Linked DNA regions of Macaca mulatta. The protein of the gene in region 1 interacts with the protein of each later gene in a biochemical or structural test. Links are inferred from orthologs where the notes say so. Each region holds a gene or a part of one and is shown in the gene's direction. Other genes may lie near its edges. The genes, in order: VEGFA, SPARC and NRP1.

Region 1 (3,649 bases):
TGGAGAAACTTGTGTGAGATGATAGCTATGGACTACTGTACACAGTAACCAGGATGTAGTAAGTGCTCAATAAATAGCTGTTGGTGTGGTTGATGTTATCGTAGTGGTTGTGGGGAGGATGTAGGAAACTGGAGACTAGCTTGGCAAAGCTGGCTTTTCCTCCTTTTAGGGAAAGCTTACAACATCCCCATGAGGTATACTGACACTCAAACTGTCCTCTGGCATCGAGGTTGGCCCAGGATTCAGTTCAGCTGTCACAGTGAGGTGGTGGGATCAGATGTGGCAGGCCATGTCCCTTGGAACTTGAGTATATCGTGTGATCTCTGGAATGAAAACAGGCCTTCACCAGTGTTGATGGTGGAAAGCTTAGGGAAGTGCTTCAAACACAGTAGGAGGGACGTAGATTTTTAGAAGGACTTGCCTGATACGGAAGCTCCAAGGAGTGGCTTTACAGAGCTGGGTGGAGAGAGGGGCTAGCCATCTTTTGTGTCGTCCACCGGGCTCATGTGTCACCGCCTCTCACGCAGTGGTGAAGTTCATGGATGTCTATCAGCGCAGCTACTGCCATCCAATCGAGACCCTGGTGGACATCTTCCAGGAGTACCCTGATGAGATTGAGTACATCTTCAAGCCATCCTGTGTGCCCCTGATGCGATGTGGGGGCTGCTGCAATGACGAGGGCCTGGAGTGTGTGCCCACTGAGGAGTCCAACATCACCATGCAGGTGGGCATCTTTGGGAAGTGGGGGCAGGGGGGGATAGGGAGGGGCGTAACACTTTGGGAACAGGTGGTCCCAGGTCGTTTTCTGGCTAGACTTGCCTTGTCTGGCTCCTGCCCCTGAGTTGCACAGGGGAGGTGTGGTAGGGTCTTGCCTTCTGTGAAGAAGATGCTTGTATTCCCAGCCCAGGTTCCCAGCAAGCCCCAACCATCTCCTCCTCCCTGGCTCAGGAGGGGGCAGATGGATGCCTGTGTCAGAGGCCCCTCTCTCCCTCTCTTGGAGAGAATCCTGAGGGCCCTCTCTTCTTGGGGGCTCTGTTTGGGAAGCTGAATGAGCCTGGTCCATGAAGAGTTTAAAAAGTCTTTGGTGTTACCTGGTAATGGGGTATATCTCAGCCCAGATAGGGTGGGAGGGAGCTGTGAAACACAGGGAGGGGGTTGCTTTTGGGTATCTGCTAGGAGTCAGGGTGAAGCCTAGAGAGGATGAAAGAAGGGGAGGGCATGGGGAGTGGTAAGAACCTAGGATTTGAATTCCCAGCCTGGCCAACCCTTGCAGCCTTGTCTTGGCCTCAAGTGGAACAAGGGCTCCTTGAGGCCAGCAGGGTTGGGGGAGTTGGGGTGGGCCTGAGCCTCTTTCCTGCTAGAGCTCTTGGTCCTCCCTGTCTCCACCACCCATCCCTGCTCTGCAGAACCCCTGGGTGCTGAGTGGCAGGAGCCCCAGGGTTGTCCCATCTGGGTATGGCTGGCTGGGTCACTAACCTCTGTGATCTGCTTCCTTCCCCTCCAGATTATGCGGATCAAACCTCACCAAGGCCAGCACATAGGAGAGATGAGCTTCCTACAGCACAACAAATGTGAATGCAGGTGAGGATGTAGTCGAGGATTCATTATCAGCAAGTGGCTGCAGGGTGTCTGATCTGTGCCAGGGTTAAGCATGTTGTACTTTTTAGCCCACGTGCAGCTTCCAGCTGTGTGACCTTTGGCATTTTACTTCAGTGTTCCTCAGTTTCTACATCTGTAAAATGGGCACAATAGTAGTGTACTTCATAGCATTGTTATAAGGATTAAACAAGTTATATATGAGAAGGTTAAAACAGTGTTGCTCCATAATAAATGCTGTTTTTACTGTGATTATTATTGTTGTTTTCCCTGTCATTATCATCACCATCTTAACCCTTCTCTGTTTTGTTCTTTTCTCTCTTCCTACCCATTGCAGACCAAAGAAAGATAGAGCAAGACAAGAAAAGTAAGTGGCCCTGACTTTAGCACTTCTCCCTCTCCATGGCCGGTTGTCTTGGTTTGGGGCTCTTGGCTACCTCTGTTGGGGGCTCCCATAGCCTCCCGGGGTCAGAGACTTGGTCTTGTGGGGGACTTGTGGTGTCAGCAACAATGGGATGGAGCCAACTCCAGGATGATGGCTCTAGGGCTAGTGAGAAAACCCAGCCAGGAGCCTGGCACTTCCTTTGTAAGGGACAGTGCCTTCCGGGTCTCCAGATCATTCCTGGCCAGGACTTGCTGTTTTGGTGTGTCAGGGGGCACTGTGGACACTGGTTCACTGGCTTGCTCTAGGGCACCCACAGTGGGGAGAGGGAGTGGGTGGCAGAGAGGCCAGCTTTTGTGTGTCAGAGGAAATGGCCTCTTTTGGTGGCTACTGTGATGGTGCAGTTGGATGCAAGGCCGGCTGGAGGGTGGTTTCTCAGCGCATGCCCTCCTGTAGGCGGCAGGCGGCAGACACACAGCCCTCTTGGCCAGGGAGAAAAAGTTGAATGTTGGTCATTTTCAGAGGCTTGTGAGTGCTCCTTTTTAAGGGGCGGGTAGGATGGGGCGGGGGACAAGGTCTGGGGGCAGTAACCCTTCAAGACAGGGTGGGCGACTGGCATCGGCAAGAGCTTGCAGGGAAAGAGAGACTGAGAGAGAGCACCTGTGCCCTGCCCTTTCCCCCACACCATCTTGTCTGCCTCCAGTGCTGTGGGGACATTGAAGCCCCCGCCAGGCCTCAACCCCTTGCCTCTTCCCTCAGCCCCCAGCTTCCAGAACGAGAGGATGCGGAAACCTTCCTTCCACCCTTTGGTGCTTTCTCCTAAGGGGGACAGACTTACCCTCTCTGGTCCCTTCTCCCCCTCCTTTCTTCCCTGTGACAGACATTCTGAGGTGTGTTCTCTTGGGCCTGGCAGGCATGGAGAGCGCTGGTTCTCTTGAAGGGGACAGGCTACAGCCTGCCCCCCTTCCCACTTCCCCAAATGACTGCTCTGCCACGGGTAGAGTGGGGGGCTCGCCTGGGCTCGGAAGAGTGTCTGGTGAGATGGTGTAGCAGGCTTTGACAGGCTGGGGAGAGAACTCCCTGCCAAGTACCGCCCAAGCCCCTCCTCCCCAGCCCTCCTTAACTCCCACCCCACCCTGCTGCCTGCCCAGGGCTCCAGGACACCCAGCCCTGCCTCCCAGTACAGGTCGCACTGAGCAGGCTGGTGTTGCTCTTGGTTCTGTGCCAGCTCCCAAGGTAGCCACTTCCCCCACACCGGGATTCCCAGAGGTTCTGTCGCAGTCGGAAATGAAGGCAGAAGGTGCCTGACGCACAGCCTGCCCTCCCACTCCTGCTCCCCATCCAGGCAGGTCTCTGACCTTCTCCCCAAAGTCTGGCCTACCTTTTATCACCCCCTGACCTTCAGGGTCAGACTTGGACAGGGCTGCTGGGCAAAGAGCCTTCCCTCAGGCTTAGCCCCCTGCTGGAGACCGGGCGCCATTGTGAGCATGGAGACCCTTGGGTCCTGTGCCCTCCACCCAGTCTCGGTTTCCCACCAAAGCCTTGTCAGGGACTGGGTTTGCCATCCCAGGGTGGGCAGCTTGAGGAGAAGAAAGAGCCATCGAGTGCTTGCTGCCCAGACACGCCTGTGCGTGCCTGTGCATGCCTCCCCAGAGACCACCTGCCTCCTGA
Region 2 (3,649 bases), on another chromosome or scaffold:
CTGGCCTTCTGGCAGGGGTGGGAGGGCCCGACTGGCCCAGACAATCTCCGTGGACCTCTTGTCACACACGGTCTCTACTCCCTCAGGTGAAGAAGATCCATGAGAATGAGAAGCGCCTGGAGGCAGGAGACCACCCCGTGGAGCTGCTGGCCCGGGACTTTGAGAAGAACTACAACATGTACATCTTTCCTGTGCACTGGCAGTTCGGCCAGCTGGACCAGCACCCCATTGATGGGTAAGACCCCAGACCCTAGAGTGGACAGAGCCATGACTCCAGGCTGGCAGGTGCGCTAGCTAGGGCCAGAAAGCCTCTCAGCAGCCTATGCTGCTTCTAGCCCTGGCATCCACAGTTTGCCTGGGGATTGGAGCAGAAAGATGAGGCATCTGGAGAAAAGATGTGGACTTGGGAGAAAGAAACCAATAAGACACTCTCATGCTGAGGTGAAAGTCAGTAGGAGCTCAAAATAGCTCCATAATCCTGCAAGTACTAGGCGTGGATATCTGGATAATGAAGGAGTGTGAGTTAGGAAGGAGTACCAGGCTCCAAGGGGTGGCAGGGGACAAGGTGGTGTCAGCCATATGCTTCCTGTCCTTCAGCAGAACATCCAGAGGCAGTGCAGCCACCTGGTACTGTCTAAGCCCTCTCCTAAGGCCCAGCCCCAACAGGGCGCAACTGACCCTGGAAGTTATCCAAAAAATCCCATCTATTTTGCGAGCCCCCAGTTTGAGGACTCTTGTCCCTTGTCCAAATGAGTTATGAGGCACTTGCAACTGCACTGCAGAACAAGCAGGCAGCTGGTCAGTTAGCAAATGCTTACTGAGTGTGCATTTTGTGCCCTGCACTATTCTAGGCAGGGGATTGAACAGCAATCAGAGCTGGCATGGTCCTTGCCCTTATGGACTCATACTCTGTTCATAACCCTGTCACTACCTTCTGAACTTTTCTTGTGGTGATGAAGTGAGAGCTCCCGCTCAGCCTCAGATAGAGCAAGCCACACCTGCACCTTCCCAGAGTTGTTTTCACTTTGTCCTTGGGTTGTGGAAGCAGAGCATCACACACAGCAGAAAGGAAGGGCTCCCCTACTCACACACTCAGGGAACTGCCTCTCTAGGATTTTCACCCCTTGCTCTTTATCCAGCCCGTGTGCCTGGAGTCCGCCAACCCTGCCAGTGATCCCGAGGGCTGGGGTCTCCTGAGCTCTGGGAATCTCCCGGCCACTTCTCTCCCAGGCTCTTGCCATGGCTGGGATCCAACTGAGTCACTCATTGTGGCAGGGAGGGGAAAAGTCAAGGGGGAACATCTGGAGCTCAGGCAAAGCAACTGGATCCCACTGCAACAGAGGGCCTGGAGGGAGGCTTCCAGATGGGGTGCAAGGACTGCACATCTGGGAAAGGGCTCCAGCCTGGGCAAGGGGACCCACTTCTTCCTCCTCCCATCCCAGGGCTGTAGGTGACCTTGCCTGCATCCCTGCCCCTCCCTGGGCCTCGGTTTTCCACCAGTACAATGAAGGGGAGGAGAAGGTTCCTATCAGTTCAAACATTGTGTGATTTCTTTGGTGAGCTGGGTGGGGCTGGGAGGTCTAGAGGTTAAGAAGACAACTGGAGTCACATTGTTCCCTGGAGATCCTTGGCGGGGAGAGTGTTTTAGGGACAAGTAGCTGGGGGCTCTGGGGAACAAAGAAAAAAATTATACACATGCTCTGGAGTCTAAGGCCAGCAGGGAGAATAGGGAGGGAGGACAGTGGGAGACATCCAAGGGACCTCCCTCTCAGACATTACAGGATACACAAGTAAAGCTCTATGAAGATGGTTAGAGCTCCTATTAACCCTCACGGCCAATCCCAGTCCCTTTCCACATTCCTTCCCAGACGGCCGCACTGTCACCAGATTGGTGTGGCTTTTTAGACGCTTTACTAGGCATTTATAGTTATATAAATGTGTGTCCATAGACAATATACAGGGTTGTGTTATGCCAGATTTTGATCTACCCATAGCAGAAGTGCTGAATTTTGATTTTAAGTTTCTGTGCCCCCAGTTCTCAGCCAATTGGGAAACAATCAAACACACCAAAAAGACCTTTGTTTTTGAGCCCATGAAACCGTAGAACTGGAAGGGCTGTTAGTGATTACAGCTAACTCCTCCTCTTTGCTGGAAGGAGAAACTGAGGTTCCAAATGGGGCACTGCTGTTCTCTGAGTCTCAGAGCAGTCAGTGGCAGAGCTAGGGGTAGACCTGGGATTCTGGCTTTTTGTCCTGCTTTAAATATCCTTTCCTCCACGCTCTGGGGCAGGCTAACTCCCCGGTTGCCTCCCTAGGCTGGGTGTGGAGCTTTTCCATGCCTCAGGCCCTCTCCTGCCTTCTTCCCTGCAGGTACCTCTCCCACACCGAGCTGGCCCCACTGCGCGCTCCCCTCATCCCCATGGAGCACTGCACCACCCGCTTTTTCGAGACCTGTGACCTAGACAATGACAAGTATATCGCCCTGGATGAGTGGGCCGGCTGCTTTGGCATCAAGCAGAGTGAGTGTCTGAGCAAAGGAGCAAGGGGCATGGGCAGAAGCACTGCTCCCAGGGTTCTGGCTTGTCATCCTCACACTCTCTGCTCTCTTGGTCTGTCTGTTGTCTGTCCTCTCTGCCTGTCTCTGCTCTGTCTGCCTATTTGACTCCGGTTTGTTGGGCATCTTCCTGATCCTTCTCTGTCCGTCCGACTGTCTCTCTCTCTTTCCCTTCCTCCAGCGTTAGCACTCACCTTGTGCTAAACACTATTTTGGGAACTGGCAGGCACACAGAGAGGAAACAGGAAGTGTAACTTGGCAGCGTGTGTAAGAGACAGGGAAAGGCCAGAGACAGGGAAAGCGAGGTTCCTCCGTCACTGACTTCCTGGGTGACCTTGGACGGCCACCTAGACCCCTGTCCCTGGGGATGGGTGGGAGTCCACCAACTCCTTGGGAAGTGCGTCATCATCGACACAGCCTTATTTTTAACCCTGATCTTTTCTTGCTTTGCAGAGGATATCGACAAGGATCTTGTGATCTAAATCCACTCCTTCCGCAGTACCGGATTCTCTCTCTTTAACCCTCCCCTTCCTGTTTCCCCCAATGTTTAAAATGTTTGGATGGTTTGTTGTTCTGCCTGGGGACAAGGTGCTAACATAGATTTAAGTGAATACTTTAACGGTGCTAAAAATGAAAATTCTAACCCAAGACATGACATTCTTAGCTGTAACTTAACTATTAAGGCCTTTTCCACACTCATTAATAGTCCCATTTTTCTCTTGCCATTTGTAGCTTTGCCCATTGTCTTATTGGCACATGGGTGGATATGGATCTGCTGGACTCTGCCTTAAACACACATTGCAGCTTCAACTTTTCTCTCTAGTATTCTGTTTGAAACTAATACTCACCGAGTCAGACTTTGTGTTCATTTCATTTCAGGGTATTGGCTGCCTGTGGGCTTCCCCAGGTGGCCTGAAGGTGGGCAAAGGGAAGTAACAGACACACGATGTTGTCAAGGATGGTTTTGGGACTAGAGGCCCAGTGATGGGAGAGGTCCCTGCAGAACCCACCAACCAGAACGTGGTTTGCCTGAGGCTGTCACTGAGAGAAAGATTCTAGGGCTGTGTTATGAAAATATAGACATTCTCACATAAGC
Region 3 (3,649 bases), on another chromosome or scaffold:
CTCTGTCTGGTTGTGGGTAGGAAGTGATCATGGTGCAGTTGAGTGAGGATGTCCAATGGGAGAGCATCCCTCTACCTACGTCCACTTCTCTCCTTCTTTCTAACACCCATTCTCTGACTGGCCTCAATAAACTTCGAGCAGTGAGCTCAATAAGTGGGATTAAGACATGGCAGCAGCATTGCCAATTTCAGTCTTTTTTCCATAAGACTGGGGGGACGGAGGCACAATGGGTGTATTTTTTTCCCATCTTGGTGGATTGATGGATCTTGATGGATCTTGATGGATCACCATCAAGGTGATCACATCTTGATAAATTAGTGGGCAAACAAATCCTAAGTGTGAATGGATCAGCTCAGTCACAGAGGACACCCTGCAAGGTCGGAGAGCGAGAGGGACATTCGTCCTGCAGTATCAAACCTACTAGAGGGGCTAGAGTTGCCACTTGTGAACACCCTTCCCTTATGATTCCACCCACTGGTTTGAAGAAGGGTGGGCTCTCACATAAGCAGCCAGGTAAGGAAAGGAAACTGCCCGTGAACACATCCACATCCACCTGGACACTGTTGACACAGGCGAGCAGAGAGGAGTATGTGCCCACGTGTGCACAGTGAGAAAGCACCTTGCAAACACACAAGCCTCTTGGGCAACAAACACAACCTCCTGCTGCCCATTGAGGCCCGAGCAGCAGATTCACACTTAATCAGGTGAGGCGTTAGAGAAGATGATTTCTATTTGCAAAGCCAACAGTGAAACATGGGTTGTGTGTTTAGACCAGGTGGTGGCAGGAGGAAATGTTCCCAGTGGGGGTCATTAAAAGTGAAGCCAAGAGAAAGTCCTCGCAGTTCAGCAAGTGTCTATGTTGCCAAAATGGCACGTTCTAATGAACCTCAACAAGGCAACCTTCCTCTCCTTGGGCCAGAAGCCCACCTCAAATAGGAGCAGGGCTCACAGGAGAGATGCAAGCTCTCAGGTGTGTTTAAGGAATTCAAAAACCGTGAAAACAAACTATGGGAAAAATAATCTGAACTTGAAAAAGTTTTTTTTAAAAGACTACTACATTATTAGGAAGAACTACAGGTTTATGATTATCAAGGAGTCATATTGACAGAAGTTTCTTTAATCAGAATTCCTGCTGCTCAAATGATAAATAAAAATACATCTCAATGATTTCATTTAATGCATGTGTTCACATGGATGCTGCTGTGCGATCTTAAAGTTGCATGAAAACAGGGTTTCTTAGGCCCAGCGTGGTGAATCATGCCTGTAATCCCAGCATTTTGGGAGGCCAGTGTGGGAGGATTGCTTGAGACCAGGAGTTTGAGACTAGCCTGGGCAACACAGGCAACAAAGACTCTATCTCTTCTTAAAGAAAAAATTAATCTTTTTAAGAACTAGCTGAGCATGGTGACACGGGCCCATAGTCATAGCTACTCAGAATGTTGAGGCAGGATGATCACTTGAACCAAGGAGTTTGAGGCTGCAATGAGCTATGATCGCACCACTGCATCCCAACCTGGGCAACAGGAGTGTCTAAACATAACAAATAAATAAATAAATAAGGTTTCTTCTTAGAGAGCCAGGCGTTTTCAGTCCAGGCTATGCACAGACTTTGCTTTCAGTTTGCTTGTGATGGTACAAATGCCAGCTTGAGCCATAGCCTGTGTCCATATGAAAATGTATTCCATTATAAGTAGTATCCTAATTAGTGCCACTCAGCCTTCCCCTAATCAAATGTCCATTTTGCAGGAGCTGAGAGCAGGGCCTCAGGTGCCCATGAGGTCCCCAAGTATGCACACTTCTCCCTTTCCACTACATATTTTAGTTCTTGGCACTCAGCGCAGGAAGCTTTTGATTAGTGAGACTTGAAATAAGAGAGATAAAAGTGTGGTAATCCTGGCCACTCTCCCTAACACAGTTCTTTGTCATAGCAGGAGATGGCAACTTCATCTATTCCCAAGCTGATGAAAATCAGAAGGGCAAAGTGGCTCGCCTGGTGAGCCCTGTGGTTTATTCCCAGAACTCTGCCCACTGCATGACCTTCTGGTATCACATGTCTGGGTCCCACGTCGGCACACTCAGGGTCAAACTGCGCTACCAGAAGCCAGAGGAGTACGATCAGCTGGTCTGGATGGCCATTGGACACCAAGGTGACCACTGGAAGGAAGGGCGTGTCTTGCTTCACAAGTCTCTGAAACTTTATCAGGTATGACCTCTTCCCAAGGCTGGAAAGGGCAGTGGCTGCAGGAATACTGAGACGATATGTTGGAGGTTGTGCAAATGAGATGCGGGAATTATTCTGAAATTATTTCCAGTGTTTCCCAACCCTGAGATATTGCTGCAATGATAACCACCTTCATAGCAGATTTCACAGTCTCCTATATTGTAGGAACAGAACCAATTTGCTGAGAAAGAACACAAAGGACTTCCATGTCATCTATTTCTGGGCTTTCACAATGTATTATTCCTTTTGTTTGCTGCTTTCTCCCATTTTAAAGTTTGTATTATAAAAAGAGAGTGTGAGGAGAAGGTGCATGCCATCACCAGGCAGCTAATGTGGATTGATGAGTGAAGTGTGTGCTTACACTGAATCTGATGAATTTAATTTATGTGTCATAGCGGGAGCTGAACAAGCATTTGTAAACTCTGCCACGTGAGATGAGCATTTCAATACTGTGAAAATGATCTTATTTTGTTAGGTGATTTTCGAGGGCGAAATCGGAAAAGGAAACCTTGGTGGGATTGCTGTGGATGACATTAGTATCAATAACCACATTTCACAAGAAGATTGTGCAAGTAAGTATGAGCTGCTGTAGAAACCAATGGAGTACTTGCCCAGGGCAAGACTCTTGCCAAAGTGGTGGTCTTTGTTTTGCCCATTTCTACTTGGAATTTCCGTGTGGCCTCTCGACACATCATAGGAAATGCATATTCTGGTGCAACAGGGCATAAAATCAGCCCAATTTACCTGTGGCTGTCCCATTACCTACCCTAGGTCCTTCATAATGTCTGCTTGATACCTACAAAACTCCACAAATAATGCAGAATCCAAAGAGTATAGCTAAGAAGACCCAGCTTACAAGCTGTATATGCCATACGGAAACATTTTGATGAGCAGCGGAAAGTCAGACATTGGATAATTCCAAATATCTGAGTGTATAAACAAAACAGCAAGCCTCTGAAAACTTTGATCAGGACGAGTTTAATTAAGAATACATTGTTAATGAACCATAGAAGCCATAATTCTTTGCTTTATTACAAATAAGTAGATGTTTCTGACTTTTAAAATAGCTGAAATGGCTTAAAAGACTTAAATGAAATTCAGAAACTTGGCCTAGTATTTCAGAGTTGGTCTTTATGGTTCTTGTACTAGGTGGATGTAAGACATAGAAAACCAATTCATATTCCCTAGTTCTTGATATATAATTACAAATAGCATTACTAATGGCAGTGTAATAGCATGGTAATTAGTCTTAAGCTCCATTTGCTACATTGAAACTTTTGTTATACATCATTATATAATACGATGTTAATTATAACAAAATGGGATAAGCCTTTTGGGCAAATTTAAGACAAAGGAGGCCTGTTGGCTGTAATGGGGGTTTTGGTCATTTCAGCAACTTACAAAGCTTTTATTATATAATATATTGGA

What was found.
Region 2: the proteins of VEGFA (region 1) and SPARC form a complex in vitro, tested with the Homo sapiens proteins (2 studies listed by BioGRID, with this or other methods). The link is inferred for Macaca mulatta from reciprocal best matches to the Homo sapiens genes VEGFA and SPARC.
Region 3: the proteins of VEGFA (region 1) and NRP1 form a complex in vitro, tested with the Homo sapiens proteins (8 studies listed by BioGRID, with this or other methods). The link is inferred for Macaca mulatta from reciprocal best matches to the Homo sapiens genes VEGFA and NRP1.

What each region holds. Positions count from the first base shown.
Region 1 is NC_133409.1:138,337,176-138,340,824, reverse strand, and holds part of VEGFA (vascular endothelial growth factor A, long form), read left to right. Parts: intron 1-527; coding exon 528-724; intron 725-1,504; coding exon 1,505-1,581; intron 1,582-1,933; coding exon 1,934-1,963; intron 1,964-3,649.
Region 2 is NC_133411.1:160,596,766-160,600,414, reverse strand, and holds part of SPARC (SPARC), read left to right. Parts: intron 1-86; coding exon 87-235; intron 236-2,369; coding exon 2,370-2,518; intron 2,519-3,006; coding exon 3,007-3,035; 3' UTR 3,036-3,649.
Region 3 is NC_133414.1:34,570,913-34,574,561, reverse strand, and holds part of NRP1 (neuropilin-1), read left to right. Parts: intron 1-1,931; coding exon 1,932-2,203; intron 2,204-2,696; coding exon 2,697-2,793; intron 2,794-3,649. UniProt on the Homo sapiens protein: Cell-surface receptor involved in the development of the cardiovascular system, in angiogenesis, in the formation of certain neuronal circuits and in organogenesis outside the nervous system. Mediates the chemorepulsant activity of semaphorins.